Linked DNA regions of Oreochromis niloticus. The protein of the gene in region 1 interacts with the protein of each later gene in a pairwise test. Links are inferred from orthologs where the notes say so. Each region holds a gene or a part of one and is shown on either strand. Other genes may lie near its edges.

Evidence for each region.
Region 2: the proteins of slu7 (region 1) and ppil3 interact in binary tests that used the Homo sapiens proteins (3 or more experiments, as listed by UniProt). The link is inferred for Oreochromis niloticus from reciprocal best matches to the Homo sapiens genes SLU7 and PPIL3.

What each region holds. Positions count from the first base shown.
Region 1 is NC_031966.2:26,438,515-26,454,641, reverse strand, and holds slu7 (pre-mRNA-splicing factor SLU7), read left to right. Parts: upstream 1-8,034; 5' UTR 8,035-8,199; intron 8,200-8,430; 5' UTR 8,431-8,438; coding exon 8,439-8,587; intron 8,588-8,678; coding exon 8,679-8,832; intron 8,833-8,924; coding exon 8,925-9,005; intron 9,006-9,173; coding exon 9,174-9,338; intron 9,339-9,439; coding exon 9,440-9,505; intron 9,506-9,605; coding exon 9,606-9,737; intron 9,738-10,260; coding exon 10,261-10,358; intron 10,359-10,497; coding exon 10,498-10,565; intron 10,566-11,034; coding exon 11,035-11,174; intron 11,175-12,052; coding exon 12,053-12,214; intron 12,215-12,306; coding exon 12,307-12,408; intron 12,409-12,526; coding exon 12,527-12,604; intron 12,605-12,694; coding exon 12,695-12,814; intron 12,815-12,893; coding exon 12,894-13,073; 3' UTR 13,074-13,398; downstream 13,399-16,127. Other genes in the region: nsd1a (histone-lysine N-methyltransferase NSD2), read left to right, coding at 1-154, 250-342, 455-578, 660-860, 2,557-2,736, 3,441-3,597, 3,690-3,895, 3,980-4,092 and 6 more. UniProt on the Homo sapiens protein: Required for pre-mRNA splicing as component of the spliceosome. Participates in the second catalytic step of pre-mRNA splicing, when the free hydroxyl group of exon I attacks the 3'-splice site to generate spliced mRNA and the excised lariat intron.
Region 2 is NC_031977.2:29,286,061-29,301,591, reverse strand, and holds ppil3 (peptidyl-prolyl cis-trans isomerase-like 3), read left to right. Parts: upstream 1-9,882; 5' UTR 9,883-9,972; coding exon 9,973-9,975; intron 9,976-10,196; coding exon 10,197-10,271; intron 10,272-11,056; coding exon 11,057-11,150; intron 11,151-11,244; coding exon 11,245-11,312; intron 11,313-11,398; coding exon 11,399-11,517; intron 11,518-11,626; coding exon 11,627-11,753; 3' UTR 11,754-12,221; downstream 12,222-15,531. Other genes in the region: lrrc8ab (volume-regulated anion channel subunit LRRC8A), read left to right, coding at 2,254-4,356, 4,539-4,814; uncharacterized protein zgc:101858, read left to right, coding at 12,791-12,814, 13,055-13,225, 14,514-14,692, 15,529-15,531. UniProt on the Homo sapiens protein: PPIases accelerate the folding of proteins. It catalyzes the cis-trans isomerization of proline imidic peptide bonds in oligopeptides. May be involved in pre-mRNA splicing.

The DNA.
Region 1 (16,127 bases):
CTCTTCTCCTGCTGCTGCTTCTGCTGCCTCCAAGCCCCCAGAGAGCAGATCTCCAAGCCCCAAAGGATCCAAGACCCCTAAGCAGGAGGCTGAGGTGGAGGCCTGCAGCACTGAGGAGAAACAAAACACTGGAACACTAACTCCCAAGGCCGAGGTATGTATGTCGTGCTGATAAGCTGCTGAGTTCTTGGTCGTCCACCTGTGGCATTTCATTTACAAGCAGCACTTGACTAACAAATACCTCCGTAGGTGCTGCCGGCCGGCTGGAATGACAGTCTGTCCTCACAGGTGGATGTAAAAGGCAAAATAGGAGCTGCATCCTTGAAGGAGAGTGTCTGTCAGGTGAGAGGGAGTCTATCAGAAAGTCTAGATTTTCTGCTTGGTTTGTGGCACATCCCTATATTTGGGACCAGTAAATCATTAGTTGGGTCTCTTCCTCCGTGTGTTTGAGCAGGTGTGTGAGAGGACGGGAGACCTGCTGGTGTGTGAAGGCCACTGTTACGGAGCTTTTCACCTACAGTGCATTGGCCTGTCGGCGCCTCCGAAGGGAAAATTCCTCTGTCGTGAATGCAACACTGGTGGGTACACCTGAAAGCACAAAAAATGCACGCTACGGCATACCTGAGTTTAATTCTTCTGGTTGTTAATGATCCTCTCAGGCGTTCACGCGTGCTTCGTGTGTAAGAAGTCCGGAGATGGGGTGAAGCGCTGCATAATCCCACTGTGTGGGAAATTCTACCACACGGACTGTATAATGGCCTACTCGGCCACCCAGCCTCACAACAAAGGCTTCCGCTGCCCCCTGCATGTGTGCCTGTCCTGCCACATTACCAATCCCCTCAACATCTGCAGCTCTAAAGGTGAGCGCCACTGCTGGCTTTGATCCAACCAGCCATCTACTTTCTCCTCATCCAGGTTAGGCCTACCATACACCAGAAGATGCTTCTATGTTAGGATGTTTTAAGATTTTGCAGAAACCAGGGTCGTTTTTTGCAAGACTACAACTAGGTGACGTGAGGTTTTTTAACAGGACAGTGAATTAAAAATAGAGCTGTCAAGATTTATTTAAAGTGTAGTGTTTTACCTTTAATTAGGAAGGTTTAACAACTAGAATCAGTCCGTTTAGTAACTGCAGTCATTTATTTCCCGGGAGGAGACAAAAATCCATTTTGTGGTTGCGTCAGGAAGAGCATCCGATGTTCAAATTTGCCAAATCAAACATGGAGCTACCCGCTGTGGCCAGCCCCTTGTGAATAGGGGAGCAGCTTAAAGTGGCTTTTAAACAGCTCCCACGGAAATGTGCTTAAAAGTAGTTCTCCAGCTGGCTGATAGTTATTTCTTCATTTTCACCGAGGTTTATTATTAAAAATTTGCATCCAGTCCAAAGAGGTGTTGATGCAAGTAAAGGAAGTCTTCGATTCATAGCAGAAATAGCAGAAACTTTAGCAGTGAGCGCATCAACAACACCTTGGTTTATTCTTAAAAGGAATGCACTCATGAGCACTGCCAAACCAAGAAAAAAAGGACCGTGAGGACTAAAGAGAACGACTGAAGTGGATGATTGCAGAATTCTTTCCTTGGATAAAAAACATCTTTTCAGAACATCTAGCCGAGTCAAGAACACACTCGACGAGGCAGGCGCATCATTGTCAAGGTCTATAAAAGAGGCGGCTGCATGAATGGAAATGCCGAGGGTTTATCTCAGCATACAAACCACTTGATACACACAAACAAAGAAAGGCCAGATTAGACTAGAAAACATCTAAAAAATAAATAAATAAATAAAAATTCTGCCCTTTTAAATATGATCTAAGCACGTAGTGTTAAATCTCTTACAAACTGAATCCTTTCCAAACTCAAACCCTGCTCTGACTGCAGGGTTTTAGAGGCCCTATAGTTTCACCTTGCTGTTCTAATCTTGATGCTCGCCAACCACAGGAAGGATTCTTGTTTCTTAAATAAGAACAACAGGTTACGTGATTTTGGACACAGTCTTTGTTTGCATGTCACTTTGAATATTGATGGCCTCTTTTGAACTCTGGATTATTTAAGGGCTTTGCACTTCATGCCTGGAGATATTAGGATTTGTTTCTGTGATTAAGCTTTTTCTTATGAATGACTCAGTGTCTTTGCATAAGCACAGGCTGACACTTGAGTATGTGTAATAACTGGATTCATTGCTCGTGTGTCATGTGAAATCGGGCATTTAGCCAGAGATTTTTTGACACTTATAGCCTCACCTACAGTACCAAGTGCACATCATAATCCTTGATTTTTAGCAGTTTAAAGTGGCTTCATAAAATACTGACTGTGCAGGATTTTGGCATGTAATCCAGAGTTTTAATTCAGTGGACTGACGAGACTCCTTCCATGTGCTTTGTACTACGATCTCTCTTAATAATCCTGTAAGACTGAGTCTTATGTTCCAAATCCAGGGACAACATTTGGAGTGAAAGTGTGTAAAATGGTATGTGTTGTTTTGTTTAAAAAAAAAACCAAAACAATCCAGATGTGCCTGAATTAAGCCGTGCTTCCTCTCACTTTTGCATCTCTCAGGTCGGTTGGCTCGATGCGTTCGCTGTCCCGTCGCCTATCACGCCAACGACAACTGCATGGCAGCGGGCAGCTTGGTGCTGGCGAACAACAGTTTCCTCTGTCCAAACCACTTCACTCCTCGCAAAGGCTGCAAGAACCACGAGCACATCAACGTTAGCTGGTGCTTTGTCTGCTCTGAAGGTCAGCGCAGTCTTGTAGCATGTGCATGTCTAATAATGAGTTCAGGATTAAAATATGAGCTTTCAACAGACCGTCTCCACCGTTCAAATGTTAAACAAAAAACACACACACAAAGAAAGGCAGCTGTTCAGCGCCGGGCTTTATTATTCAATTCAACATAATGCGCTCCAAATTATTTTTATGCTCTGTCCCATTTTCCACTTAAATGCTCCCACTTGGCAAATGGATCTATAAATTTACTTCTGCTTCTTGTCTCTACTCACAAATCTGCCTCTGAAACCCAGCAGCTATAAAAACACACAGTTTGACTGCTGAAGTAACATGTTAATGTTTAATGCTCTTATTTCTGACACTGATTTAAATTAGTGCCACTGATCTCATTTAAATACTCCGACTCACCTCATTTAGTCCTGAGTATCTACATTTGTACTGATTAGTGTCACTTGTAGTGGCACTATAATAAGTCAGTTACTGAATTAGCTTGCTGCTGCTGATAAATATTCAGCTTGGTGCTTATTTGCTTGTTTTACCTCACAAATGCTTATATGTGATATGGACTGTTCTCCCTTACCAACTTAGAAGAAAATTTGCAGGCCTGTGTGACCTTATAATCATTGTTCCAAACATAACTACAGACTGTTGCAGGCCATATTATGACATGTTATAAAAAAAGCTCACTAATCGCTCACGGGTTGTGTTTCTAGGGGGCAGTCTGCTGTGCTGTGAAGCCTGTCCTGCTGCTTTCCATCGGGAATGCTTGAATATGGAGATGCCACAGGGTAGCTGGTTCTGCAACGACTGCAAAGCTGGAAAGAAGCCCCGTATTAAGGACATCCTGTGGGTCAAGTGGGGGCGTTACAGGTAGGTTAACAACACTGGCAATCACACAGAGGCTCTGCCCAACAACTACTGGAGCCATATTTGTATTTCTGAAACCCGCTGTGTCTCTTCAGGTGGTGGCCTGCTGAGGTCTGCCTGACCAAAGAGGTCCCAAATAACATCTTAAGGATGAAACATGAGGTTGGGGAGTTCCCGGTGCAGTTCTTTGGCTCCAAAGATTTCGTGTGGACATACCAGGCCAGAGTGTTTCCCTACATGGAGGGCGATACTCACAACATAGAAAAAATGGGCAAGGGTGCAGATGCAGTGTACAAAAAGGGTGCGTGCTTAAGGTTGCTGAGTGCATGTTGATTCTTGGTGTAAGGTGCATGTTTAATAGTAAAGATCGTGTGTCTCTTTGTAGCGCTGAATGAAGCGGCCGAGCGGTTCAAAGAGCTTCAGGCAGAAAAGGAGCTGAAGCAGCTTCAGGAGGACAGAAAGAATGACAAGAAGCCTCCTCCATACCGACACATTCGGGTACCGTGTGTACATCTGTGCTCATCTAGCCCACGGCAGAGCAGTTAACTGAGACGTGCTGTTAAAATCTCACCCCTGTCTCTGTTTCTTAGGTAAACCGGCCAATTGGGAAGGTGCAGATTATCACCGCTGACCTCTCAGAGGTTCCACGATGTAACTGCAAGGCGCTTGACGAGAACCCGTGCGGCATCGACTCCGAGTGCATTAACCGTATGCTGATGTACGAGTGTCACCCTCAGGTGTGCGCGGCAGGGGACCGATGCCAAAATCAATCTTTCACAAAGCGCCAGTACACACCTGTGGAGATTTTCAGGACTCTGTCCTGCGGCTGGGGTTTGCGCGGCTTGTCGGACATCAGGAAGGTGGGTCGGAAACGAATCAGGCCAGCATTGATCGCTTTAGTTGTAACCACATTTTACTCATTCCTCGGTTTCTCCGTCTCTTTTTGTCTTTCCCAGGGAGCTTTTATCAGTGAGTACGTGGGCGAGGTGATAGATGAAGAAGAATGCCGTGCCAGGATCAGGCACGCTCAGGAGAATGACATCTGCAACTTCTACATGCTTACACTGGACAAGGTAAGTATCTGAGTCAAATACTAACAGATGCAGCCTGAACGCGGCACGCTTGATTAACAGTGCAGATCGGATGACGTGTCCACACTCATTTGCGCTTTTTTTCACTCCAGGATCGCATCATTGACGCGGGGCCCAAAGGCAACCAGGCTCGCTTCATGAACCACAGCTGCCAGCCGAACTGTGAGACTCAGAAGTGGACTGTGAATGGGGACACCAGAGTGGGGCTGTTTGCTTTACAAGACGTCCCAAAAGGTTTGAAAAGGTTTTTTTTCTTTCTTCAATTTTTAGGGGGGAGGGTTGTATTTAACAAGATCATCCAGATTATTTTAATTACACATCCGATCTAATGCAACAACTATTTCAGGTGAGGAGCTGACTTTCAACTACAACCTGGAGTGTCGTGGCAACGGGAAGACTGCCTGTAAATGTGGAGCACCCAACTGTAGCGGTTTCCTGGGTGTCCGGCCAAAGGTAAAACTTTATATTTATTCACAACTTTACCTTCATTTAAATGATCCTCTGACCGCACTTACAAGAAGAGCTGCCTTGTGACCTTCCCGTTCCTCGTCCGCGTATAGAACCAGCCAGCAGCTGAGAAAATGAAACCTAAGGAAGGAAAACGGAAGGTCCCCATGAAGAAGAAGACCAAGCAAGAGGTGACCAAGGAGAGGGAAGATGAGTGCTTCAGCTGTGGTGACGGGGGTCAGATAGTTTCCTGTAAGAAGCCGGGCTGCCCAAAGGTCTATCATGCTGACTGCCTCAACCTGGCCAAGAGGCCTGCAGGCAAGTAGACTTTAAGGAGAGCACACAATTTGATAGCCGTGTGTAGCCAATCGTTTTTACATCGAGCTCTCAGGGGGTTTGAATATCCTCGAGCATGCATGGAGCAAACAGAGGTGACTGGGTGGTTTCTGAGGTGAAGGTTCTCCAAAAAAAGGCAAAAATAAAATGTAGTTTTGATGAATGTGAACTTGAAGAGAAATGTTAAATATTATATTTTTGTTAGCTATTTGTGAGTCAAAAATCTTACTATTTGCGCATGTTTACTGTATTCATTCCACATTTGATTTGCCTGCAGGCCGATGGGAGTGTCCATGGCACCAGTGTGACGTATGTGGCAAAGAGGCGGCTTCGTTCTGCGAGATGTGCCCCAACTCATACTGTAAGGAGCACAGAGAAGGCATGCTCTTCATCTCCAAGCTGGACGGCAAGTTGTCCTGCAGCGAGCATGACCCCTGTGGGCCCGACCCGCTGGAGCCAGGGGAGATACGCGAATACATGCCCAACACGACCTCCATGAGGCCCGGGGCTGTTGCCTCGCCCGTCGCCCCTTCTTTCGTCCCCGTCACCAGACGAGCGGGTCCTTCCGCTCCCGTCTCCGCCCCAGCTGGCCAAGCGACTTCATCGAGGCAAGAGCCTCCTCCTCGTCTCTACATCAACACCAAGACTGCTACCTCAAGCTTCGTCCCCTCCGGCAGGTCCTACCTCACGGGCAGAACTGACGAGAAAGCTTTCCCCACTCCTGCCTCCTCCGAGGCAGAGAGAGAGGACGGGGAGGTGGAAGATGGGGAAGTGTGCGGGTTGGACGTCGAGGGCGTGGAAGATGACGATGACGACGACGACGACGATGAAGAAGACGAAGAAGAAGAAGAGGCCGATGACGAGGAGAATGATATGGAGGAGATGGAGATAGTAGAGGACGAGGAGGATGAGCCACCTTATGGAGGAAATCTGCCAGAGGATGATGATGAGGAGGACGAGGAGGGCGGAGACGAGTATGACACTTGGGGTGATTATGTGGAGGAAGACGATGGAGAGGTGGAGGGTGAGGACGAGGAGGACTGGGGGAGAGTGGAGGATGATGACAAGTGACTGTTCATCCTGTCCTTCCTTATATCTCAGCAGCAAAACTCTCAGTAGACATTGAAAGGCCTGAAAGAGTTTCATATTTTGGTACCTACTTGAATGCAACACTGCCTTCACTTTGGTACAACATTGCCTTCTCATCTGCACACCGCTGGACTGACAGCAGGGATGAGTACTGGTGCTAAGGCTTCGACGGCTGCTTTACTCAGCCCCTTTCTACTTCTGTTGATATGTATGTGTCTGGTGCTGTTTTTTTCTCTTGTTGTTTCTCTTAACAATGTTTACATTTTTTGGCTTTTTTTTTAAGAAAAAAAAACCCTGTTTGGAATATAAGAAAAAAGGTGGGAAGCTTCACCTGACCAAACTGTCATCTTAAGGGCATCTTATGTTGTTGTTACTGTCTTAACTTTGTCTTTCCAATCAGAGCAGTCCTCAAAACATTGTTCTCACATGTCCGTGTTACAGTTAGGCACAGGGAGTACGCGCCTGGTGCTTGTGAGGAATGCAGAAATAAACCCACTGGAGTCTTCTTGCTATAAATGATCTTCTCACAACAAAAACTACCCCAGTTTCTTTTATTTGATTGGTTCCTTCTGTTTTTTTGTTTGTTTGTTTGTTTGTTTTTTCCAACGAGTAGCTCACAGCTCAGGATCTTTGGCACAGAGAAATAAAAGACAAAAGCGTCATCTTCTCAAAACCTAAACATGAATCACAGATGTCGCCAGTGTTGGTTTTATAACCGCGCTGCTGTTGCACTGACTAAATTAGAATAAAATCCTTGTACTTACTGGATCTCAGTATCCAAGGATCTGTCCACATGTAACAAGAAGAACCTTTTCTGAAGCATCTTTTATACACATACACATTGCTCTTACTGGGTTGGACCACCTTTGTGCTTTCAGAGCTGTCTTAAAGTCATCATGCTCAAGAAATCAGTTTGTGAGGATTTGAGCTTTGTGACGTGACACCATTAAGCAGCCATCAGAAGATGGGTACACGGTGCCATACAGGAATGGACACGATTACTATTTTCTATTGCCCGACCAGCTTTAATATTTCTACATGCTTAAATACACTCAGGTGCTGCCATGTGGCTAGTTGATTAGAGATTTGTAATAATGAGTACCTAAAACGTGGCCAGTAATTATGTACAGACACACAAGTTCATTTCGCTAAGAGAAATCATAAATTAAAGCCACATTAGAGACTACATGTTGCATAAAACTGACACAGTTCTTCAGAGAAACACTTCTGAGTGAATTTTAACAATATAGTTTAAGCTATGCTTTTTTAGACTTGAGATATCAGATCAAAAAACATTCAAATAAAGGGTTAGAAACTGAATTGCTTCAACTTTATTGATATGAAATTTCCCAAGTAAAAGAAAGTAAAGACCACCTGATTTCTTGCGGTTGAGGTGGTGTACTCTGAGCAGAGGGAGCGGCGGTCGGCCTGATGTTCCGACTATGTCCGCTAGAAGTCGCTGTTTCCGGCAGCGATTCGACAGAAAGGATGTGACGTAACTATAGTTGATGTAAAATGGCGACGATCGCATTTTAGTCAAAACAGAACCGACGAGTTTTAAAAAAGGGGTCAAATAAAGGGAAAGTTGCTGATTTTACGGAAAGAATATAAACATCAAGTTTATTTGTGGAGCCTTATCAAGGTAAGTGAGTGAGCTGGTTTATTAACTTTCACAGAAATGAAGTAAAATGCCTCTTCTACATGTACGTCATTGGGCAGGTAAACTAGGTTAGCCAATACTGCTATAAAAACTGTAGTTTTAGTCTTTTTTTTTTTAAAGAAGGGAAGCACATAATTGCTGAGTATAGGTGAACAGGACGGGTGTTTATATTAACCCGTGACGGCGTCCCCGGTGGCGTGTTTCTGGCGGCAGGTTCAGACATGACCGAGCAGACCAGCGTTAACTCGGAGGGGATCGTGGGCCTGGATGAGCCCAAGAAGATGACCAGAGAGGACTGGAGGAAGAAGAAGGAGCTGGAGGAGCAGAGAAAGCTGGGAAATGCTCCAGCTGAGGTGGACGAGGAGGGGAAGTAAGTTTTTGCCTGGGCAGAAAGTGTGTGCTTTCAGGCAGCTGATGGAAGGAATGATGTGATTTGTAACGTGAACGCTTCTGTCCTACAGGGACATAAACCCCCACATCCCACAGTACATTTCATCAGTGCCGTGGTACATCGACCCATCAAAAAGGCCCACACTAAAGCATCAAAGACCACAGGGTGAGAATGAGAAGCAGTACTCTGCAATCGGAGAGTGGTACAAGAGAGGAGTGCAGGAGGTGAGAATGAGGCGAGTTTTTCCTCTCATGTGGACACAGAAGTAGATATATTGCCACAAAATCTAAAAGCTTCACTTTGTGTCTCCACACAGAATGCAGTTTCAACTAAGTACCGTAAAGGGGCTTGTGAAAACTGTGGTGCCATGACACACAAGAAGAAAGACTGCTTGGAGGTAAAACCGATGAAACAGTTTTACAATTATCTGCTGGAACAAATTAATATTCAGGGTTTGCTTATCCTGGATGTCAAAGGCGTATTACTATCATTATTATTATTATTATTATTATTGTTATATTATTTGTACTAAGCTAGCATCTTACCTTTCATTTTGTCACACCAGCGACCCAGAAAAGTTGGTGCTAAATTCACAGGAACAGGGATTGCTCCAGATGAACACGCTCAGATCCAGCTCGCCATGGACTATGATGGAAAGCGTGATCGCTGGAATGGCTACGACCCCGAGGAACATCAGCGCATTGTTGAAGAGTACGCCAAAGTAGATCTGGTAAGCGGACCAGCATGATTGAACTCCAGAGGTCAAAACATTGGTTAGCCGGTGTTGTTGTGGTCCGCCACCACACGACTGAATTCTTATTTGTTTCTCAGGCCAAAAGGACACTGAAAGCACAGAAACTTCAGGATGAGTTGGCCTCGGGAAAACTGGACCAGACTGTAAGTGCTCACTCATATTAACATGGTAATAATACATTTTCCCAGTTTTGGAGGCAAATATCAGACTGCAGTTTAATAACTTTACATTCTTTCTTTGTAGGAGCGGGAACATGACAGTGAAGATGAGGATGAAGACAAATATGCAGATGACATCGACATGCCCGGTCAGAACTTTGACTCCAAGAGACGAATCACTGTCAGGAATCTGCGTATCAGAGAAGACACAGCTAAAGTAAGAGCCACGTAGTAAAACATTAGTCATTTGTGCTTTCTCTGATGATAAACTGTGTACACAGGAAAAAATGAATACAGAGCACCGTGTTACCGCCCACATTATTGTGTAAAAGCTCTGAGCCACACCATATTCCTTTTATATTTTTCTTACAACAAGACTGTTATATCGGGATCTTGTTTAAGTTGTGAACATGAAAAAGCTTAGAATATTTCAAGCAGCCTGGAGAACTATTACTGCAGACGACTTACAGAAAATACAAGAAGGCTGCCTAAGAGAGTTGTGTTAATGAATAAAGGTGGTTGTACCAAATATTGACTCAGAGGGCTGTTGCAGTTACACAGACTCTGTTTTTGCATCATATGTTGTGTTTCATTTGTGTTTGCATGTTTCCTTCATGTTTGTTTTCAAGTGAAATATAAAAAAATCAAATGACTTTTCAGCAGTTCTGTATATGAAAGATGGGGTACTGCAATTTACTAATTTCTCTGTAATCTGAACTCCTCGTGTCTGTTTTTCACAGTACTTGAGAAATCTGGATCCAAATTCAGCGTACTACGATCCAAAGACCCGAGCAATGAGAGAGAACCCGTACTCCAACACGGGCAAGAACCCTGATGAGTAAGTTATGGGTTTGGGTTTTTTGTTGTTGTTGTTTTGGTTTGGTTTTTTTAAATAAAATCAACAGAAGAATAGTAGAAATAGTCTCCCAGTAACTGAGTGGACACTGAAATCATTTTTGAACTGTTTTGTGTAACAGAGTGGGGTACGCTGGAGACAACTTTGTTCGCTACAGTGGAGACACAATTTCCATGGCTCAAACACAATGTAAGTCCTAAAGTTATGGTTCCTTCTTTTCAAACACCTCATAACCTTAACTCTTTAGGTTTTGGAAGTATGACTTTACTTATATTGGAAATAACTCTAGAGATTTATTTATTTTTGGCCACTGTGATCAAAACTGTTGAATGTTTGACTGGATTATAATAGGTTACCAAAAGTCTTCCAAAAATTTAAAAAATCAGCATTTATAGAGTAAAAATCAGCTGCAAAAATGTAAAAAGCAGCCTGCTAACAATAGTGGTTAACATCTATACATCTATTTAGACATGGCTAAATTAAAAAGAGTGCCTCTCCTGTCACACGTATGTTATATATGAGAAACCAAAAGGCAGTTACAGTTTCAGTTAGTTACTTAGTAAAGGATAATTATGAATGAATTATGAAATCTGAGCTTTTTCTTATCTGATAGGACCACAGAGTGTAATTTGTTGTAATTGTCATTGCCTTGTGACAGTGTTTGCCTGGGAGGCTTATGAGAAAGGCTCCGAGGTGCATCTGCAGGCTGACCCCACCAAACTGGAGCTGCTGCATCGCTCCTTCAAGGTCAAGAAGGAGGACTTCAAAGAAGAACAGAGGGAGAGCATCCTGGAGAAGGTACACGGCTGATATATATTTATTTAGCAACAGGATGAGGCCTCTACATTTTTTATTTATTTATTTTTTCCAAATATGTGACGCAGCATGCATAAAGCCAAGCAATGACACGATCAGGAACAGTATTCCAATATTTCCATTGCAGCTTAACTTCACTGTCTCTATATGCCTCTCAAAAGTATGTCTGGAAAAATGTAGTTTATTGAACAGTTTCTGATGCATAAACCATTTACCCTAAATCCTCATCCAGCAAACCTCCCGGGTTTGAGGTGAAAACCCACTCAGTGCAACCACACACGCCTGGAAGCAAACCTTACCAGCCAGTCAGTGAAATTTGCTCCCTCAGTGACTTTTTGGTCTTTAATCTCTGTTGATAACACGGTGTGGAAACTAGTAGATTGCTAGAAGTGGCTGTTTATTTATTTGCACTTCGCTTGTAGTTTCCGAGTTCCCAATTCTAATCTGAATCCCCCCCCTTACTCGAAAAGCTGGAGTAGCACCACCTAGTGTTGAAGGATTTATTGATATGAGCATTTATAATGGCCAGTAAATGAAAATAAGAGTGAACTATACATGAGAGATGGGAGAAACATTCTTCAACCATCTTATGATTGCAGATGTTGCATAGTTTGTCCACCGGATGGCACTCTGCAGCTTCTCTGTTGGCAGCACGTTTGAGAACGCCACAAACAACCAGTCGATCTGAGCAGTCGGGCTTGGATCAGCTGTGTAAAGGAGAAAATAAATAACTAAAAATGTTAGGGATATCGGAAAGAAAAAAAAAATCGGCTGATATATCAGAATCTCAGACTGAACTCCATATCAGTCACAGCCTGGGCTTTACTGATGATGTTTCTGCTCTTGTGTGTGACAATCAGTATGGAGGCCAGGAGCATTTGGATGCACCACCGCGGGAGTTGCTGTTGGCCCAGACGGAGGACTACGTGGAGTATTCACGTCACGGCGCTGTGCTGAAAGGACTCGAAAAGGCTGTCGCTCGCTCCAAATATGAGGAGGACGTGCTCATCAACAACCACACTGTAAGGAGGGCAGACTGTAGCAAATGTGTGGCTAATTTTTGTACATTTTAATTATGTTTTATCCTAAAATCAAGATCATATCTCCTTGTTAGTGTATTTGGGGTTCCTACTGGAAAGACGGCTTCTGGGGGTACAAGTGTTGCCACTCCATGGTCAAACAGAGTTACTGCACAGGATCAGCTGGAATTGGAATTGTAAGTACATTTACTGAGAGTATTTGAAGGGTTTGTTTGATGGATAGGATATCAGTTTATAAAGTGGTCACAGATTTCTCACTTTCCAACTGTGTTTTTTTTTTATGAACCCCTGCAGAACAACTCGGAGTGCACTCCATTTGAAGAGGTACTAACTGAGCCACAGGAGGAGGAACAGCCCAAGACTCTGCTAGAAGTAAGGGACACTGTTTTTTAAAAAAATGCAGCAGTTAATGTTAATAAGCTTAAATGTAATGTTCATTATTAAAATATTCGTGATCTCCAGATGCATCAAGATAAGATGAAAGAGAAGAAGAAGAAAAAGAAGAACAAAAAGAACAAGAAGCGCGACTCTGACAGCAGTGATTCGGAGGATGAGGAGAAGAAGAAGGAAAAGCTGAAGAAGGTGATGTTTTTGTTTGACTGCCGTGTTTGTTTTGATGAGTTTCTCCGTGTCTGACCTCCAACCGCCGTCTCCCTCTCAGGCCCTAGAAGCAGAGGACAAGCGGGTGAAGCAGGTGGAGGTGCTAATGCAGCTGGATGAGAGGAAGAGGCCGTACAACAGCTTGTTTGAAGTAAAGGCGCCCACTGAGGAGGAGATGGAGGCCTTCCGCATGAAACGCAGCAGGCCAGATGATCCCATGGCTTCCTTCTTGGGACAGTGACCTTTTCAGTCCCTGCAGATTCCCCTAAACTCTCCCCAAGGACTCTACTAGAGCAGCTGCTCAGTAAAATATAAAATCCCTCATTCACTCAAGTTTTGTGTTTTGGAAAGAAGTGCTGGAGAAACTGTGTACAGTATTTTGTAAAAGTTAATGTTGACACATTGCTTTGAAGCTTCAGGTCCATAAAATGTAGAACAACAACAAAAAAGGTGTTTCGCTTCAACAGGAGACATTTAAATACTTTCAAACCTTTCAAATTCAGTCTTTACAGGAAACATGAGAAACGTAACTGCATTTTTTTTATAATAAAATCCATTTGCCTGAATGTATGGTTTTTTGTTGTTGTTGGGTTTGTTTGTTTTTTTGCGGGGGCGGAGGGTTGTACATGAGGTATGAGCAATGGATGGAAACATGACTTGGGGTTGGCTTTCAAGGCCTACATGTATCATCAAGCGGCTGATCCTCTTAATTTTGCTGAACCTCAGTAGCTGTTGTTAACACGGCTGTGTATACATATCATGTTTTCCAGTTATGGACTCCAGATCCAAAGAAAGACATGGAAGAAACTTAAGTATGTGGGGAGATTTGTAAATTGGTACACAAGAACAGAAAGTAATATGGAAAGAACTCTTCAAAAGGCATTTCCAACATTTCTGTCAGGTCTGAGACTTCATCGATTTAAGTACTGATCTGAAGAGAAAGCAGAGGATTACTTCATACTGACCTCCACTACAGGCCAAAATGAAACTGAAGCTACCCTTCTGGTTTCTACCCTTCACTGAATCCCTGCTGTAGGGAACGGCTCGTTTATGTAATGTGCTCAGTGATCATGTTCCCTGTGTAAGTGATCAGGGTCTAAATCCACAGTTCTTTGTAAAAGTGCCCACCAGAGTTATTCTAGTTATTGTATTTTCTAATTATTTATTTATTATTTTTAAATTTCATTTTGACTCTCTTGAGCCTGTGCTTTTCACTTTAGTTTTTAATTGTTTATTGTTTTAATGTTTTGCTTTTTTCACTATTAGCTTTAGCCTTGCACAATATCATTTTACAGAGGGCAAATGCTGGAGGCAAGATTTAAGAAGATCAGTTCAAGTTTCACACAAAAATCCCGCAGCTTCTGAAAACAGTTCATTCACAGTCTTGTAGACCTCCAAACTCTCATTAGAGATGTCAGTTAAAACCTCATCGGGGAAAGCTGTAACTTTACTAAACTAACAAACAAAAACTAAAGACATTTCATCAATATTTGTATTTAATTTAATTGTATTCGTTTGCCAGGATTACAAAATCATGTCACAGTTAGTTTTGACCCCCCCGCCAAGTCTAGTTTTTATTTTAGGTAACACGGTTTTTCACATGTAAATTGAGTTTTAGAACTATTTTACTGCATAAGCTTTTAAAAACCAAAAACTGAACCTTGCAAGGTGTGTTTACCTTTCGTAACGCTCTCCTTCTGAATGAAATGCTGCTTCAAAGCAGCGACGAACAATTCTGGATAATTTATTTGGGAAAAAAAGAAATAATTATGTACTTTTTAATTTTGCTTTTTAAAGCCTTGGATGTGTGTTAAGCATAACTAGGGCAAAGATAAAGCGGGAAAGAAGGGAAATGAATAAAATCTCAAATACCTAAAAAAAAAAAAAAAAGTCACCCAGAGCGTCACCTAACCTAATGGACTGAACAGAAAAATGAATGCAAAGATGAGATGGCTACCTCTTCATTCACTGGGTGATTTTCTGGAAAGCCCTGATGAGGGTTCCAAGGTGGAGAAGAGGACACCAAAAACAAGCAGTCAATCCCAGCGTGCCTTATCTCAGACTGCAGGGAGAAGTCTGTCCTTGTGTGCCTCATTAACCAGGTGCACACATTATCCACGTGCATTACACATGAACACAGTCCGAAACCTAAAACATGGCAGACGTGTTTTTTGCAGTGTACAGTGCAGGACTATTTTAGTGCTCTTAATAAGAGAAGGAAACGCAAATGTTTTGTTTTTTTTTTCATTTTCTTTTTCTATTATTGCAACATTAGACCGCTTCTGAGGATATTAGTATCTAAATGCATAAAGTGTAACAAGCTAAAAGTTTCTGCTTTATCTTTTTTAGCCCTCGTTGTGTAATGTCTTGCTTCCTAACAGCAGAGTTTGTGAGCCACTGATGTGTCACTGCTTCAGCTGTTGCACTGACTTGAATGTAATGACATCATGGTGAAAGTATTTTTTTTTTTTGGCCTATCACTCGCATAAACAGGGCGGATGTTACGGAGGCTCTGGGCTGCACATTTCTCTGCAGAGCTTCTCTTGAAGAATGCTGCCTCAATCGTTTGCTGGAAATGTAGGAAGGTTTGTGCGCTCTGATGCAGAGAAAGGGCTCGGACAGAGCTGAAAAATACCCATGGGTCATAATTTCTCAACTGGTGAGTTCTTACTCTGTGCTTTTAAAATGGCTGACACACTCCCTTTATATAACCTGCTGTAAGCTGCATGTTTTTATGTAACCAGAACATATAACAGATCCATCACATTTGTCATTAGTTACTGAGTGATAGCATGAAAATGACCACGCCATCTAGATGCCCGTCCACATGTTGTGTTAGGTTTTAGTCTCTGGTTGACTCCAGGAATCTTTTACCAGATGTTTGCATCATCTGATTAATGGCTGCAAAACTCAAGTCAGTATAATTGTTGTAAACAGTTGCTTCCCCTTGCCTCGTTGTGACTCTACAGTTCCCATCATGCTCCAGATGTTTGTGATGATCTATGTGCTGTCAGTTGTCGTCTCGCAGTCAACAAATCCCCCATCTAAGAGAGGTCGGAATTTCACCATCCACTCATCCCAGCTGGTCTGCAGTCTGCCGGGCCCAGCGGGGCCTGCAGGGAACCCAGGAGCCCCTGGATCACCCGGGGCCATGGGCCCCATGGGCCCCCCGGGGTGGACGGCCAAGATGGGAAGGATGGAGAGAAGGGAGCGAAGGGAGATCAAGGTAGTAGTTAATCTCTAGTTGTATGTTACTGTGAACTTGAATGATCTTCACATCATATATGTCACTGAT
Region 2 (15,531 bases), on another chromosome or scaffold:
AATTGCAAATGAATAAATAAATGAATACATACATGTATGTATTTACTCAGACATACATGTTTGAGTAATCATGTCTGGTATGTCATTACTTGTGTTTCATAAGTTTGTCAGTTATATTTGGATGATGAATTGATTTTGTGTTAATCAGCTGACTTCACTTTGTGTGATCTAAAATTTTTGAGGAGATATTACTTTTTATTGGAGTTTGACTAATCTATTCATGTTTCTTCTTTCTGAAGGAAAAATTATATCAGACAGTATATTGGAATTGGATCGGATTTTTTTGAATCACCAAATATTGGTATTAGTATTAGTACAACCAATACAAAGCTAATAGCAAAGAAATCAGAACGATGTTAAATGATAATTCAAAGGATTTAATAAAAAGTGTTGGATTACCTGTTTTGGCATTTTCAGATGCTCGCAAGTTACTCCTTTAACGATGTTAAAGGAGTAATTAGCAGTCGGGCTTATAACGCTATAGCCTCCAAAGTAGCATTGCTTTGGCTACAGCATTTTTCTCTTTGGATCCTATTTGGGCTGGCTTAATTATCTTTACTGTCACCTTTGTGTTAATACCTACATACTAAAAGAAACATCTTGAGTGTGCCCTTGTTAGAGTATGGGTTTGTGGCATTTTGTGGGACTGTAGCATAAGGTTTATGTTGTTAACTCATGGTAATGTGACAGTGTACATTATGTCATACCACCTTGTTAATAATGCAAAAGTTATATAATGAGCAGTGTAAGGAATTCCTTTCTTCAGCGAGTAAATATGTAACAAAGTGAATTCATTTTTAATTTTGGTGACTGTATCCACAGCAGCTTAGTAAGGCTGTCTGCGTGTATCTTCCATCCAATTTGAAATTGTCTCACATGCTGGATTATGAGCAACTCCACTATCTGTTATATCACCACAGTTGTGATGTAAAAACGAATGAGTAATGAAAGTCGAGTTTCTGTTTAATTATTTAGCAATGGTTATTACATTAACATGTGTATGTGCTTTGTTCAGTGAACGTATTCATGGCCACCCCACCATAAGAACAATTTAAATCTGTGGGTAACTGTTCAAAATTCACATTTTGAGGTTGGTTACACACTTAAATGATAAATGAACTGGAACTTATATGGTGCTTTTCTACTCAATTTGAACACTCAGAATGCTTTCTTTCAACAAGTCTCATTCACTCAAGCACATGCACATCCATACAGCACTTTTTATCTAATGTAAAAAGCATGAGTGAGTGGGCAACTTGTATTCAGTGTGTTTTCCTTTAGCAATACTGTTTTCCCCTAAAATAAGTCATTTTGTGACTTACTCATGCTTCGTAAATTACATTCCACATACAATTAAATTAAAATGTTTCTGAACTTGAGTGCCAAAATCTTTTAATATGCATTGAAAACCCTGCTTCATTAATTGGCTACATTACTTGTAGAGGCCGAAAACCCCATGTTAAACAGATGGATGAATCTCATGTTGTCTGATCACTGTATTATTGTAGGGTCTTTATCTTACAATGTAAATTGCCTTGAGGTGGCTGCTGTTGTGCCTGTTTTAGTTTTGGTACTCAGATTTTGTGTTATAATTGGCATCAGAATAGAGAAGTGGAATTTATGTATTATTACTGCTGACGAACAGTAATAATACAACCTCTCACGATTAACAAGTGTGAAATTACTGCCTGCCTAACTTAGTCATTTATCACGTTTACACCTTGCATACATATTGAAGGCAGCTGTTTCTTTGCCTGTATTTTTTTTTCTTAACATAGGCAGCCCATTAATACTTCACCTTAATCTTGTAGGAGTAACTTAAGATGCAGATAAATTTAATTTATATTTTATTGATTGCCATTTGGCCCTAACATTTGAAATGACTTGTCTGGTATGACAGTCCTTTGAAAGCAAGATTAATTGAGCCTGCTTAACAATAGGTAAATCAATAACATGGTAGTCCACCAAGTAAAGTTAAACACCAAAGTCTTTGTCACAATCGCTATTCATTACTCCTGACAGCCTTCAAATTAACCATGGTCAGCGTTCTGATGTGTGCCCTTGTTAGTTAGAATTATAGTATTGATTTTTCTGCTAGGTTTTTTGTCGTCGTTTAGGCAAAGGTTGCTTAAGCACTACAGGGAAGGAGTGTTTAATTTGTAAACAGACATTTCTGTATTGTTCTGATGTTTGACAGGGGTCTTTAATTCAATACATCACTGTCTACATTCTCTACGTTCCCACAGATAAACCATGATCCCCATCACCGAGCTGCGGTACTTTGTGGACACACAGCCAGCATACCGCATCCTGAAACCTTGGTGGGATGTCTTCACCGACTATATCTCTATTGTCATGCTCATGATTTCTGTTTTTGGGGGAACACTGCAGGTCACCCAGGACAAGATGATCTGCTTGCCCTGCAAATGGGTGGTCAATGAAACCTGCAAGAAGAACTTCAATTCAAGCATCACATCATCAGTGCCCAAAGGGATCCAGTATGATTTGGACCGCCACCAGTACAATTATGTTGATGCTGTCTGCTATGAAAATACATTGCACTGGTTTGCCAAGTATTTCCCCTACCTAGTATTACTCCACACCCTTATTTTTCTAGCTTGCAGCAACTTTTGGTTTAAGTTTCCACGGACTAGCTCCAAACTAGAACACTTTGTATCTATCTTGCTAAAATGCTTCGATTCTCCGTGGACAACAAGGGCACTATCAGAGACAGTGGTTGAGGAAAGTGACCCAAAACCAATGAAAATGAATGGCTCGATGGACCACAAGGAATCTGTAATAAGTGAGGATGTTGAAGCAAGTGTTCCTATGCTTCAAAGGACAAAATCACGCTTTGAGCAGGGCATTGTAGATAGAACGGAAACAGGAGTTTTGGACAAGAAAGAGGGTGAACAGGCAAAAGCTCTGTTTGAAAAAGTGAAAAAGTTCCGCATACACGTGGAAGAAGGAGACATTGTATACAGACTGTACATACGCCAGACTATTATCAAAGTCATCAAGTTTATTTTGATAATCTGCTACACAGGGTATTATGTGCATGATATTCAATTTAGTGTTGACTGTTCTGTAAATATAGAGAGCCTGACTGGTTACAGCGTGTACCGTTGTGCTCACCCACTTGCTACACTTTTTAAAATCTTAGCGTGTTTCTACATTAGTTTAGTGGTGGTGTATGGTTTGATCTGCATGTACACGCTTTGCTGGATGCTTCGGCGCTCCCTGAAGAAGTACTCCTTTGAGTCAATCCGCGAAGAGAGCAGCTACAGTGACATACCTGATGTGAAGAATGACTTTGCATTCATGTTGCACATGATAGATCAGTATGATCCTCTGTACTCCAAACGCTTTGCCGTGTTCCTCTCAGAGGTAAGCGAAAATAAGCTGAGGCAACTCAACCTCAACAACGAGTGGACACTGGACAAACTCAGGCAGAGGATAACTAAGAACTCTCAGGAGAAGTTGGAGTTGCACCTTTTCATGCTTAGTGGCATTCCAGATACAGTGTTCGATCTGATGGAGTTGGAGGTTCTTAAACTGGAGCTAATCCCAGATATTACCATTCCCCCAATCATTGCTCAGCTGGTTAACCTGCGAGAGATGTGGCTTTATCACACCCCAGCCAAAATTGAAGCTCCAGCTTTGGCTTTTTTGCGTGAAAATTTAAAGTCTCTGCATATCAAGTTCACCGACATTAAAGAAATCCCCTTATGGATCTACAGTTTGAAGAATCTCAGTGAGCTTCATCTGACAGGGAATCTCAGTGCTGAGAACAACCCTTACATCGTCATTGATGGGCTCCGGGAGCTCAAGAGACTCAAAGTGCTTCGTCTGAAGAGCAATCTCACCAAGCTACCTCAAGTGGTCACTGATGTGGGCATGCACCTCCAGAAATTGTCCATCAATAATGAAGGAACCAAGCTCATGGTGCTCAATAGTCTAAAAAAGATGGTAAATCTGACAGAACTAGAGCTTATTCGCTGTGATCTTGAACGCATACCACACTCAATCTTCAGTTTACACAACTTGCAAGAGATTGATCTGAAGGATAACAACCTGAAGACCATTGAGGAGATCATCAGCTTCCAGCATCTTCATCGGTTGGTCTGCCTTAAGCTCTGGTACAACCAGATTGCCTACATTCCTATTCAGATTGGCAACCTGAACAACCTGGAGAAGCTGTACCTGAACAGAAACAAGATTGAGAAGATCCCCAGCCAGCTGTTCTATTGCCGCAAGCTGCGCTTCTTGGATTTGAGCCATAACAACCTAACCTATATCCCAACAGATATTGGCTTCCTCCAAAATCTTCAATACCTGGCAGTGACAGCTAATAGGGTAAGTGATGTAATAAGCATCGTTTCCAAAGATTTTAATATTATCCTAATTATAGTTTGGAGTTTATCCATAATGCTTTATTTGTATTATTTATTTGCTGATAAAACAATAAATTAACTTAGAAGTCATAATTTCTTTCCTTTTCTTTCCCAATGGAAAATCCCTTGTTCTTTAAAATACAGATTGAGAACCTGCCTAATGAACTGTTCCAGTGCAAGAAGCTTCGCACTTTGAACTTGGGAAACAATTGCCTGCAGTCTCTACCATCACGATTTGGAGAGTTGACTGCATTGACACAACTAGAGCTTAGAGGAAATCGCCTAGAGTGTCTGCCAGTGGAACTTGGAGAGTGCCGACAGCTGAAGAGAACTGGTCTTGTGGTGGAAGAGGACTTGTTCAACACACTGCCCACAGAGGTCAAGGAACAGTTGTGGAAAGCGGACAAAGAACAAGCTTAAAAAACAGGTTTGCATCTGCAAGTACAGATACTGATTTACTGGCTCTGGACCTACAAGTTGGTCCCAGATGCTTGCCATAACAGGCAGTATTCCTGCTGCATTGTGCCGTTTCTAAGTTTGGGCATCAAGAACCAGTGCCAGATTGGTAGAACCAAAATCCTGGCAGTTTCTGGTTGTCTTCTTAGTCTATTTGATTTATTAATTCCTTGACAAAAAACTTCTCAGGCCTTTACATTATAATCCAGTAATGATGCTTTTTAGCAATAATGTAGTTTGAATCTTGTGTTTACATTTTTATGCCTCTCGATTATGGTATAGAAGACAGCGTATGCAACACTCGGAGCCAATTTTACTGAAAAGAAAAATAACACTGATCAATACTAAAAACATCAGGTTTAATACATTAAAATATTCTGTCAGGTGTTCTGGTTTGAAGGCACAATGAGATGGCAAAATTACTTCCAAGACATCTTTATTTCTGTATATAGACGATAATCACCTGTTTTGAGTTACAAAGATGCTATTGAGAGTGATTTGATAGTATGACTTAACAAAACAGTAATAACTATAGATGAGTGGAGTATAATTATACTGAGAGCCTTGTACCTAAAGGTGGTTTACAAAGTGGGAAGAAGAGGGCCATAGAGGACACTGTTAGTATTGTAGCGCTAAAGGGCTTTTTGTTAGTTGGTTGGCTGAACATCTTTTGATACTAGAATAGACAATTTGGCAGAATGGAGGGTTCGGTTCCCTCTTTCTATGGAAAGATGTGTGTTTGACCTAGTGCTTAAGGAAAAGCAATTATTCTGCTGAATATCACTTATTGCACTAGCATTAAAATGGTATTAGTGAAGCATATCAGAATACAAACCTTACTGCTAGTATATCTTTAATGGAAAATAACATTTTCACACAAAAGTATATGATATGTTTGCAATAACTTGCACATAACAAAATAAAATGCGGGGGAATGCTTAAAGATTTTGAATGAGATGAGTCATGTCTGCCTCATAGGAATTCAGATTAAGTTTATACAGAATGACAGTGGTGAAATTAAAATGGAGCCTGAAAGTATTTGCAATATGTCTGTCAAACGTAGAGGCTTAAATGAGATTGGGGCTTTTTTTTTTTGTAGCAGATGTAAAAAGAATCACTGGTGATAAGCAATGATAGCTCAATAGCTACAAATAAGAAAGACCAGACATGTCATCATGTCTTTAAATGTATTTTTTAAGCACCTCGCCTCATGTTCATTTGTAGTTTGTTACTATAACATTGTAATATTATATTTTCTACCTTGATAGGATTCAAATTCTGTTACTTTATTATTACTGGACTGCATTAGTGTGCAATGTTCAGTGAAGAAGCTGCTCACCTATGTGTGAGAAAACACACATCCTAAACGTTAAATGTTGGAAATGTTACATATTACTCACTGAGGTGAGGATAAAAGTCACTTTTACTGTTTTCTGCTGATATTAAAAAGCTAGTAGTAAAGAAGTTTGAAATTTTACTGCTACAGAATCAATCTACATTCCAATTAAATGAAAAGAAAATGAAGTAAATCTTACAAGTCGATCAGATTAGTTGCCTTATTTTCTCCTCTCATTGTCATGAATTGATTGTTATGTTTCCGTTGTCTGGTCAGATGAAAATTGTTAGTTTTTCAAAGTGCACCATAATAGTCAACCCCAGATAGTGATGGAGCTATTGTCATAGTTTCCTTTTTTGGGGGGGGGGTCACTTCTTGCAAAATTTTCAGAAGTGACCATGCTTGACACTTAATATGTCTTAAGTTGATTCCCCACCCCAACACATACCCAGTTTCTGTTTTTCTTGTAACCTCACCTTGTGATATTGAGTATGGTTAAATGTTGGTTTAAATCTGATCACCGGTCTTGTTCCTCACTATTAACAACTACTGCAAAGAGTCGGGGTCAGCAGAGAGCAAACCTTGTAATTTAAAATGTCCGGTAAAACTTCTACAAGGCTGTACCTAGCTGTTGAGTTTAGATTTTGGTTACTGAAGATGCACAAAGTGTAGTTTATTATTAATGTTTTATTTTTATTTATTTATTTTATTTTATTATTTTTTTTTTAAAGCTCATCTGTCCAAAAGACTGTTGAGCTTATGCCAGGCATCCATGGTGTATTGTTCATTCACAAGACAGTGTTAGTCACAATATAATCAAGCTTGCACACACAATCACCCAGTGAATCTTCACCTAAGTTGTGCTCAAGATCGAGGTCATTTGTTGTTTTATGGGCAATAACCTCTGAGTTGTGATGGATCGGGTGTCAGATAAGCTACTATGTCATTGACGTTCTGGGTTTTGGGGAAGGGTTTTATCTGTTTGTTGTTTTTATACCTTTCTTTGTTTTAGTACTAGATGTACTTCTTGCAGAAACGAGTTCCTGTTAAGGAAAAGAAAAGATATGTTTTTTGTTTTGTTTTGTTTTTTAAATCAATAATCAGACTTAATTGGAAGTAACCAGTGCATTCTTTTCTCAAAATATAAACTTTATTTCTCATAGTTAAAGGCAGATTTAATCTTCACTAGTTTTTAATTAAGAAAGAGATTTTTAGGTAAAGGTTTACTTGTTTTTGCTCAGTTGAGAGTGACTGTTCTGTATTTTTGTTTTGACACAGTGACCAAGACAAAGCTAAAAATGTGGAATCTGATATTGATCCACAGTTCTGATGCAGCATAACACACAACAGAAATTCTTGTATTTACCCCAAGAAAAATACAATTCCTGTTCTAATAAAGATTGACTGAAGCAATATACATAATAGAAAACATTTCAGCTATGCGCATCTATAACCGTGACATGTTTGACTATGCTATGTTGTGCAGTATTACATTTATTTAAACTGTATTGTTAGTAATGATATAGATTTCTAATGTGCATTTGTATTCCTTTTGTCACATTGGTTTTACTAAAGACATGGTGAGATTTTCACATTAAGTAGATTAGAGATTGTTGTGCTTAAAGGATGCTTTTGCACTATAGCACTTCTCTCAGAACTTACTTTTAGATGTTGCAAACAAAAGTGTACAAGTTATTGTATGCACATAGAAAAACCTGTTTTGGGCATTTTCCAGTTTGGGAAGGTTTACCTGAATGACTGCCAGCCACGAGATTAAATTTAAGTTTACGCTTAAGCTTTTACATAGAAATATTAAAAAGGGAAAAAAAGAGATGGATTTTGGTCTTTAGTGGAGCATTTTGAGTGACACCCACAAACACATCAGCAGTACACCTATTTAGTAAGAGAATCGACTATTCCATTTAAAAGGGACATCATGTCATCACGTCTAAGTGATTTGTTGCAATCAGTACTGTAAATAAGTGGTCAGTGCATAGTGTAGTAACATTAAATAAACATGTTTTTGTCTTAGTCACTGTTAATCTTTCTTTTTTTTTCATTTTTATTATTAGACTAATTTTATTATTTTAATTTTGATATCTATTAGGATTATTGTAGAACTAAATTTCTCAGGAAAGCAGCCAGTACTCACTTTTTTTTTTAGTTCACTGTCTATTATTATTATTATTATTATTATTATGGTATTATTTTTTTATTATTATTTCTGGTATTTGTAATAATTTAAACAGTTGTGATAACATTTTTATATCAAATTTCTATACATTATTTTTTAGTTTTGTGTATTTAATAATAACTGCTGAATTGAAACTAAATGTATCTGTATTTTCAAGGAGAAACCACTTTATTTGACCTTGCTTGTGTTTTTGTCAAACATCTCATGTCTGAATTGTGTCTTCATTGTGAGCAATAGATAAAGCCCAAGTGTGTATGTCTGAATAATGGGACCTTACCCCTTGGTTTCTGTTTTCTATTTTTAATTTGTATTTTTTCCTCTTAAAATGTTTAATTTGGGTACAAAATAATTTTCCATCTTTCTCTATTACAATCAGACGTGTTATCTTGACACATTTGGTTTTGTGCAGTTTTGTTTTGTTTTGTTTTTTGCCAAAGGAACATCATCAATGCATTAGTACCGACACTGAGTGTGTTTGAACATGTTTCTCTTCATGTCTTGTACACCACTGACTCCAGTAAAATAAAAAAAATGAAGTAAGCCACATTTGTCTTGGTGTCTGTTGGGCTTTTGGCACAAACTTTTCTCAGAAATTGCTCACTGTAGTGCTAATGAAATTTACTCTGAAGATTTTATGAACTAATCTGTTCTCAGGTGTTTTACACCAGCACGGAGAACATGTCATAAACCCAAGCCTTGAATACTCGGAATTTTCATTAGAGGTGATGCTGTAATTTAGCTCGTTTTTATCTGACATTATAAAGAGCCTCTTCAAATCTTGACGTGCCATATATCTTAAAAACCTTCATCTCTGCTTTGTGCTCTGCCTATGTCTTAATAGCGTCATCACACAAGGGTTAAAAAAATTACATAAAGGTTTAGCTTGATGTGCAAGTGTGCACATCAAACTAGTGTGTAGATGCAGATACTGACCTGTGTGCAAATGTGTAAATATGTATAACATCTCTCATACTGTAGGTGTTCAACTGACCTTATGGTGGCTGCAAAGACCCATATCATGCTACAGTCACACACGTTCAAACAGAGGTTTGAGGCAGTGGCATGACCAAAACTTTTACAAATTGAAATTTCCTTGTCGCAATGAGTTGGCTATCCTATTTGTACTCTAGTGTGACTGAGCCATTATGCCCTCATGGGCAAAGCTATTGTCATGCAGGAAGATACCACTCCCACCTTTACAAAAATCCTTCATCATAGGATGAAGGGGATCACTCACTAAAAATTTTTTTGCGAGGACCATTTCCAGAAACTGGCCAACCACGCCCAAACCATGTCAGCAAAATGTCCCTCCCCTCACTGTTAGTGCCAGTGATTCATTTTTTTTTTTTCTTTAATGTTTCAATTGTCTGCCCCTCTCGTATTTGTCTTTGTTTCATATATATATATATCTATATCTATATCTATATATATATATATAGATATAGATATAGATATATATACAGATATATATATAGATATATAAAATAAAGACAACTACAACAATTTTGTTTGCGGAACCATTCACCGCTGGGTACCCATCCCCACACGGACATGTTTCTTCGACACACTTGTTCACAGACGCAACATTTGAAATGGTGAGTTTCATTGTCGCATTTACAGTCGGTATTTGTCAAAAGGAGGTTGTTTCCTAGTATTACGTTATAACGGTTCTAAACAGGCTACGAGTCACCTAAAGCATTGTGTAATAATGTAGTTCTTTGCGATAGCAGGCTAAGCTAGTCAAGTAGTTGAAGTTGAAGTTCGGGAGAAATTCCTTGTTTTCGTGATGTTTTTGATGTTCTTGTCTATTTTGCAGGCTGTTACACTTCACTCAGATCTAGGAGACATTAAAATTGAATTGTTCTGTGAGCGCACACCGAGGGCATGTGAGGTAAATGTATTTCTCAACCTAACTCTCCCTAGCAATCAAGCCTTTTATTTTAACACTCTTACATTTTATGGATCTTTACGTGAAAAAGTAAGACCATCCAGCACTCGATTTATTTTCTTCCACTAATTCAGGGTCGTAGGTGGGATGGAGTTTATCCTAACCCACTTAGACCTTGTGTTGTTGTAGTATGAGAGTACGCTCAAATGCAGTTTTGGAACTTTCTGTATGAAGTTTGCATGTTGTTCCTGTGTGTGTGCATGGGTCTTTCGGATTCCTCCCACAGTCCAAAGGCATGCCAGTTAGATTAATTTGTAGTTCTGAATTGAATGCAGGTGTAAATGATGATGATTATTGATAAATCAAATCAAATGAATGATTGAACTGATTTAGGACATTTCTAAGAGGTTACTGACCCGATTTCAGACTTTATTCAGATTTGTGTGCACCTGATGTGTCAGAATTACTTTCCAGCATGGCACAAGACTACAAAGAGCCTTAAAACTCAATTTAAAAACTCAGTTCTAAGATATACTGTCTGCAATGAAGATGAAAGAGGTGTGATGTGGTCACCTCTGGCAGATAAAGTTCTTTACAATCTAGACTCAGAAATGATCGTATTCTGTCAGATAAATAAAGATAGTCAATGCTTAAGGGCGATGAAGGTGTTTAAGATTGCAAATTTAAAAAAAAAAAAAAAATGTAATAATAACATTTGTAAAATGGTAATTTAAAAACATGACAAATACACGAATTTGCATTTAATTTTGCTGGTGTTTTTTTTGCAGAACTTTCTTGCTTTGTGTGCCAGCGGCTTCTACAATGGTTGCGTCTTCCACCGAAATATAAAGGGCTTCATGGTTCAGACCGGAGATCCTACAGGTACGGGGATGTTATTGTTTTTGAAGTGGCAAAAAAAATATATAAAATGAACTTCCTGTTCATTGCATCTTTGTTTTCTTATTAAAACCTCCAGGCACCGGTAAAGGAGGAACAAGCATATGGGGGCGTAAATTTGAGGATGAGTTCAGTGAACACTTAAAAGTGAGTAAATCCTATAGCTAGTTGGTTTAAGCTGGTTTTGCCCAAGTATCATTCCATAGGAATGTTTTTCGTTCTTCTGATTTCAGCATAATGTAAGAGGAGTGGTCTCCATGGCAAACAATGGTCCCAACACGAATGGCTCCCAGTTTTTCTTCACCTATGCCAAACAGCCTCACCTGGACATGAAGTACACAGTGTTTGGAAAGTAAGCATCTTATGCAAGCCAACAAAAGAGGTTTGTTGGCTTGCATACTGGCTTTGTTACCTCAGGTAAAATTGAAACATTTGCTGACTGCTTACCCTCTAAAATTTAGGATCATAGACGGCTTGGAAACACTGGATGAGCTGGAGAAGCTGCCTGTGAATGAAAAGACGTTCCGACCACTGACTGAAACTCGGATAAAGGATGTGACCATTCATGCTAATCCTTTTGCTGGATAGCAGATTTTCACTTTCATATGATACAATGCTTGTTGCCTTGCTAAAGTCAAAATACTTTTCAAATGGTAGAACTGGAGAGTCCACTCACATGCCCAGACAGTGGGCAGGGTGCTGACTTCAAAGCTACAAAGTGTTAAATTGTCTTAACTTTTTATACGGTGTAGTTCCTGATTTTGCAACTTCATGTAAAAAATATATAAAAATCAGGGGGATGTCTTGTTTCCTTTAAACAATGAACTTTGTAAACAAAAATAAAATATGGACGTAACCGCCATGATGTCACCCATTGGTTAGTGAAGTCTCATTCTGAAGTGTTTCAAAGTTGTTTTTTGAAGCTGACTGTCACAAGATGGAGATGGATCTAAACAGGAGACCAAAGGACGCCACACACTTGGCACTGACATGTGAATGATATGTTGTTAACCAGTGAAAATATCCTGGATATTTCTTAGTTTGTGCTTCTAAAAATGACCATATTTTACAAAATGATTATGATTTACTTAGTTAACCTGAAACTAGCAGGTGAACCCAAAGTTATCAGGAAAGTGTTTGCTGAGGTTACATAACAAAGGAGCTGAGGATTGTTTCCCCATAGACTTCTCTGTAAACGCAAGTCTTTTTGCAACTTTAAGAGTCGCCTCCTGCTCGTCGTTAAAAAGACTACAGGTTGAAGTTTGCTGCACCTTTCAGACCTGAAAGATGTGTCCATATTTTACACTGTCTGTGTTTTAAATCAGTTTTGAAATGATTTTTTTCCTTAACAGGTTCCTCTCCATTTATTCAAGTTTAGTCTTAAAAGGGAATGTAATAAATTGCCAATGTTGCGTATTTAAAAAAAATAAAATAAAAAACTTTTGTAATTAAAATACTTTTGGTTTTAGCATGTTTTCAGAATATGTTATACATGCAGCATATTTTTCGTGAGTGTCCACTTCACATCTTGTAGTCCTAAGAACTAATTTGAACTACAAAGGAGTTATTGCGTCACATTGCGTCATCAGTAGTGGACAACTGTCACGCGGACCCTGGTAGAAATCATGGCTACAGGTGATGCGTTTAAAGTAAGTTTATTACCTTGCGTGGGTTTACAGTGCTTCGTGGTTGCTCATTTATGACTTTGGTCATATATTTATTATTATTCATTTATTTTATCCAGGCGAAAACTCTCATTGAGAGTTAAATTTAACTTCCAAGAGAGACCTGGCTAATAAGGGCAACAAAAATGAACTAAATACGGGCTTATTTCTGCAAGTTAAGATACCTCGGAGAAAGACTTGGAGGTTTTTTGCTGTGTATTGTAGGTGTCATCTCTGAAGGGGAAAGTGGCCCTGATAACTGGTGCCAGCTCGGGAATCGGAGCCGGTACGAGCGTCCTGTTCGCTAAACTCGGAGCTCTGCTGGCTCTGAACGGACGCGACGTGGAAAACCTCAACAAAGTAGCCAAAGAATGCACAGACTGTGGAGCCGACGAGGTACATAACGTAGTATGCTTCATATATATATCTGCACACACTTCCATAATGTAGTTGAATAAACACAAGTTGGATGCTGTAATAACAATATTATACTTTTATACATTTTCTGGCGGTTGGTACGACCTCCTGTGACCTCCTGTTGGTCAATTTAATGACCAACAGGAGGTCAATTTAATGAGCAGAACTAAGATATTAAACAATTTTAGTGTTTGTAACTACATCAGAATTACAAAAACAAGCTTGTACTAGAGACGCACTACTACTTACTGTATACTTTGTAATTTACACCTTACTAGTAGCTGGGTGGACCCCTTCACAAATGCTTTAATTCTTCATGGCATAGATGCAAGAACATACAAGAAACATTTTGGAGATTTTGGTCCATATTGACTTGATAGCATCACACAGCTGCTGCAGGTTTGTCCCTCGCATGTCCATTTTACAAATCTCCCATTTCACCACAGTGCCAGAGCTCATTTGTTGGATTCTGGTCATTTTGGGGGCCATTTGAACAAAGTGCAAACTCATTTTCATGTTCAAAGTGTGTCAAGAAAACTTCCCTCACACCATTACACCTTCAGCAGCAGCCTGAACCTTTGATGCTATGCAGGTTGGATCTGTGCTTTCATGTTGTTTATGCCAAATTCTGAGCCTACCATCCAAAGCAGCAGGAATGGCACCCGCTGTGGTACCCTGTGTGGTCTTCTGCTGTGGTAGTCCATCTATTTCAAGTTTTGATGTGTTGCATTTAGTAATACTCTTCTGCATGCCTTAGTTGCAATGACTGGTACTTTGAGTTACAATCATCTCCAAGCAGTCTGGCCATTCTCCTTTGGCCCCTGGCATCGGCAAGTTATTTTTGCCCAGAGAACTGCCACCCACTGAATATCTTCTCTTTTTCAACCCTTCTCTGTGAATCCGTGAGATGGTTGTGTGCGAAACCCCCCCCCCAGTAGATCAACAGTTTCTAAAATACTAGGATAATTCTAATGCTCACTTTAAACTTCAGCAGGTCCTACCGACCACGTCTACATGCCTAAATGTTCAGAAACTGGCTGATTAGATATTTGCATTGTAACTAACAAAAGTGACTGGTGAGTGTAAAGAAGCAGTTTTTAAGGCTGGTGCCACTATTGTTATTACTTGACCAGGCCGATATTTGTGCCTTTAACAAAACAGTTTGTTCTGTATTTACTGTTACTTTAGTGTTGAAGGCATACATTTTTGTCACCTTTATAAATAATTTAAAAAACAGTTCTTAATGAAAGGTTGTGTGTGCATGCAGCCTCTACTCGTTCCTGGAGACCTGACTGATGAGGAGATTGTGAAAAGCACGGTTGAGAAAACTATCGCTCACTTCGGCCGGCTGGATGTCCTGGTCAACAGTGCTGGCATACTGGCAATGGGCAGCATCGAGACAACAGACCTGGCTCAGTATGACAAGGTCATGAACGTTAATGTGAGGTAGGAGACCTGGCTTTATGTAGGAGATGTATTGGTATCAGTTTCACAAAGCCATATAGTTGTTGATTAAAGAAGAGGTTAGATATAAAACTGGGAAAGAGAAATAATTTATTACATGGCACTCTTCATATATTAAGAATATCTTTATATAATAATGATACTTGTCAAACTGTGAGGGTATTTTTTTAAGATGCTGCATTTGAATTCAACTGAATATGAGATTTATTTTATTTAAATATTCTAAATTGTACATGACGTTTAACAGTTAATATTTTATTATATTGTGAGCAGTTTAGCAGTACTGTTTAATGTGTGCCTGCGTGCTTGAAAAGTAGAATTAAGCATGTTTAACCATCTTTACACACCATGGACACAATGAAGCTGCATGTATGAAAATGTAAGGGTGTTAAAATATAAAATGTTAAACAATTGATAAGAACACGGTGTCCTTTTGAAGTAGATTTTTTACATACTTAGGATGGCCAATCCTTCTAATGTAGGATCCATTTAGTCCTACATTAATTCTATTTGTGCTGTAAAAACAGGTTGGAATTCACAAGCAAAAGTGAATTCTGTGCAAATACAGATTTAACACTGCCATTATCGACAGGAACATTATCTCAATAGAACCATTCATCAGCTGTCTAGACTGGATGTAGCCTGATTAATGTAGGCCTGGTGAGATACTGCTTTTACTACAATGGTGAAGCCAATCACAGATGTCAGGATGTTAACTGACCTTTGCAGTCTGGCAAGCACTGGTTATTATAATGAATCATAACTGCATATTTAATGTTCAAAGACTTTTAAAAGTAATTTTAGTTCATATATTACAGATC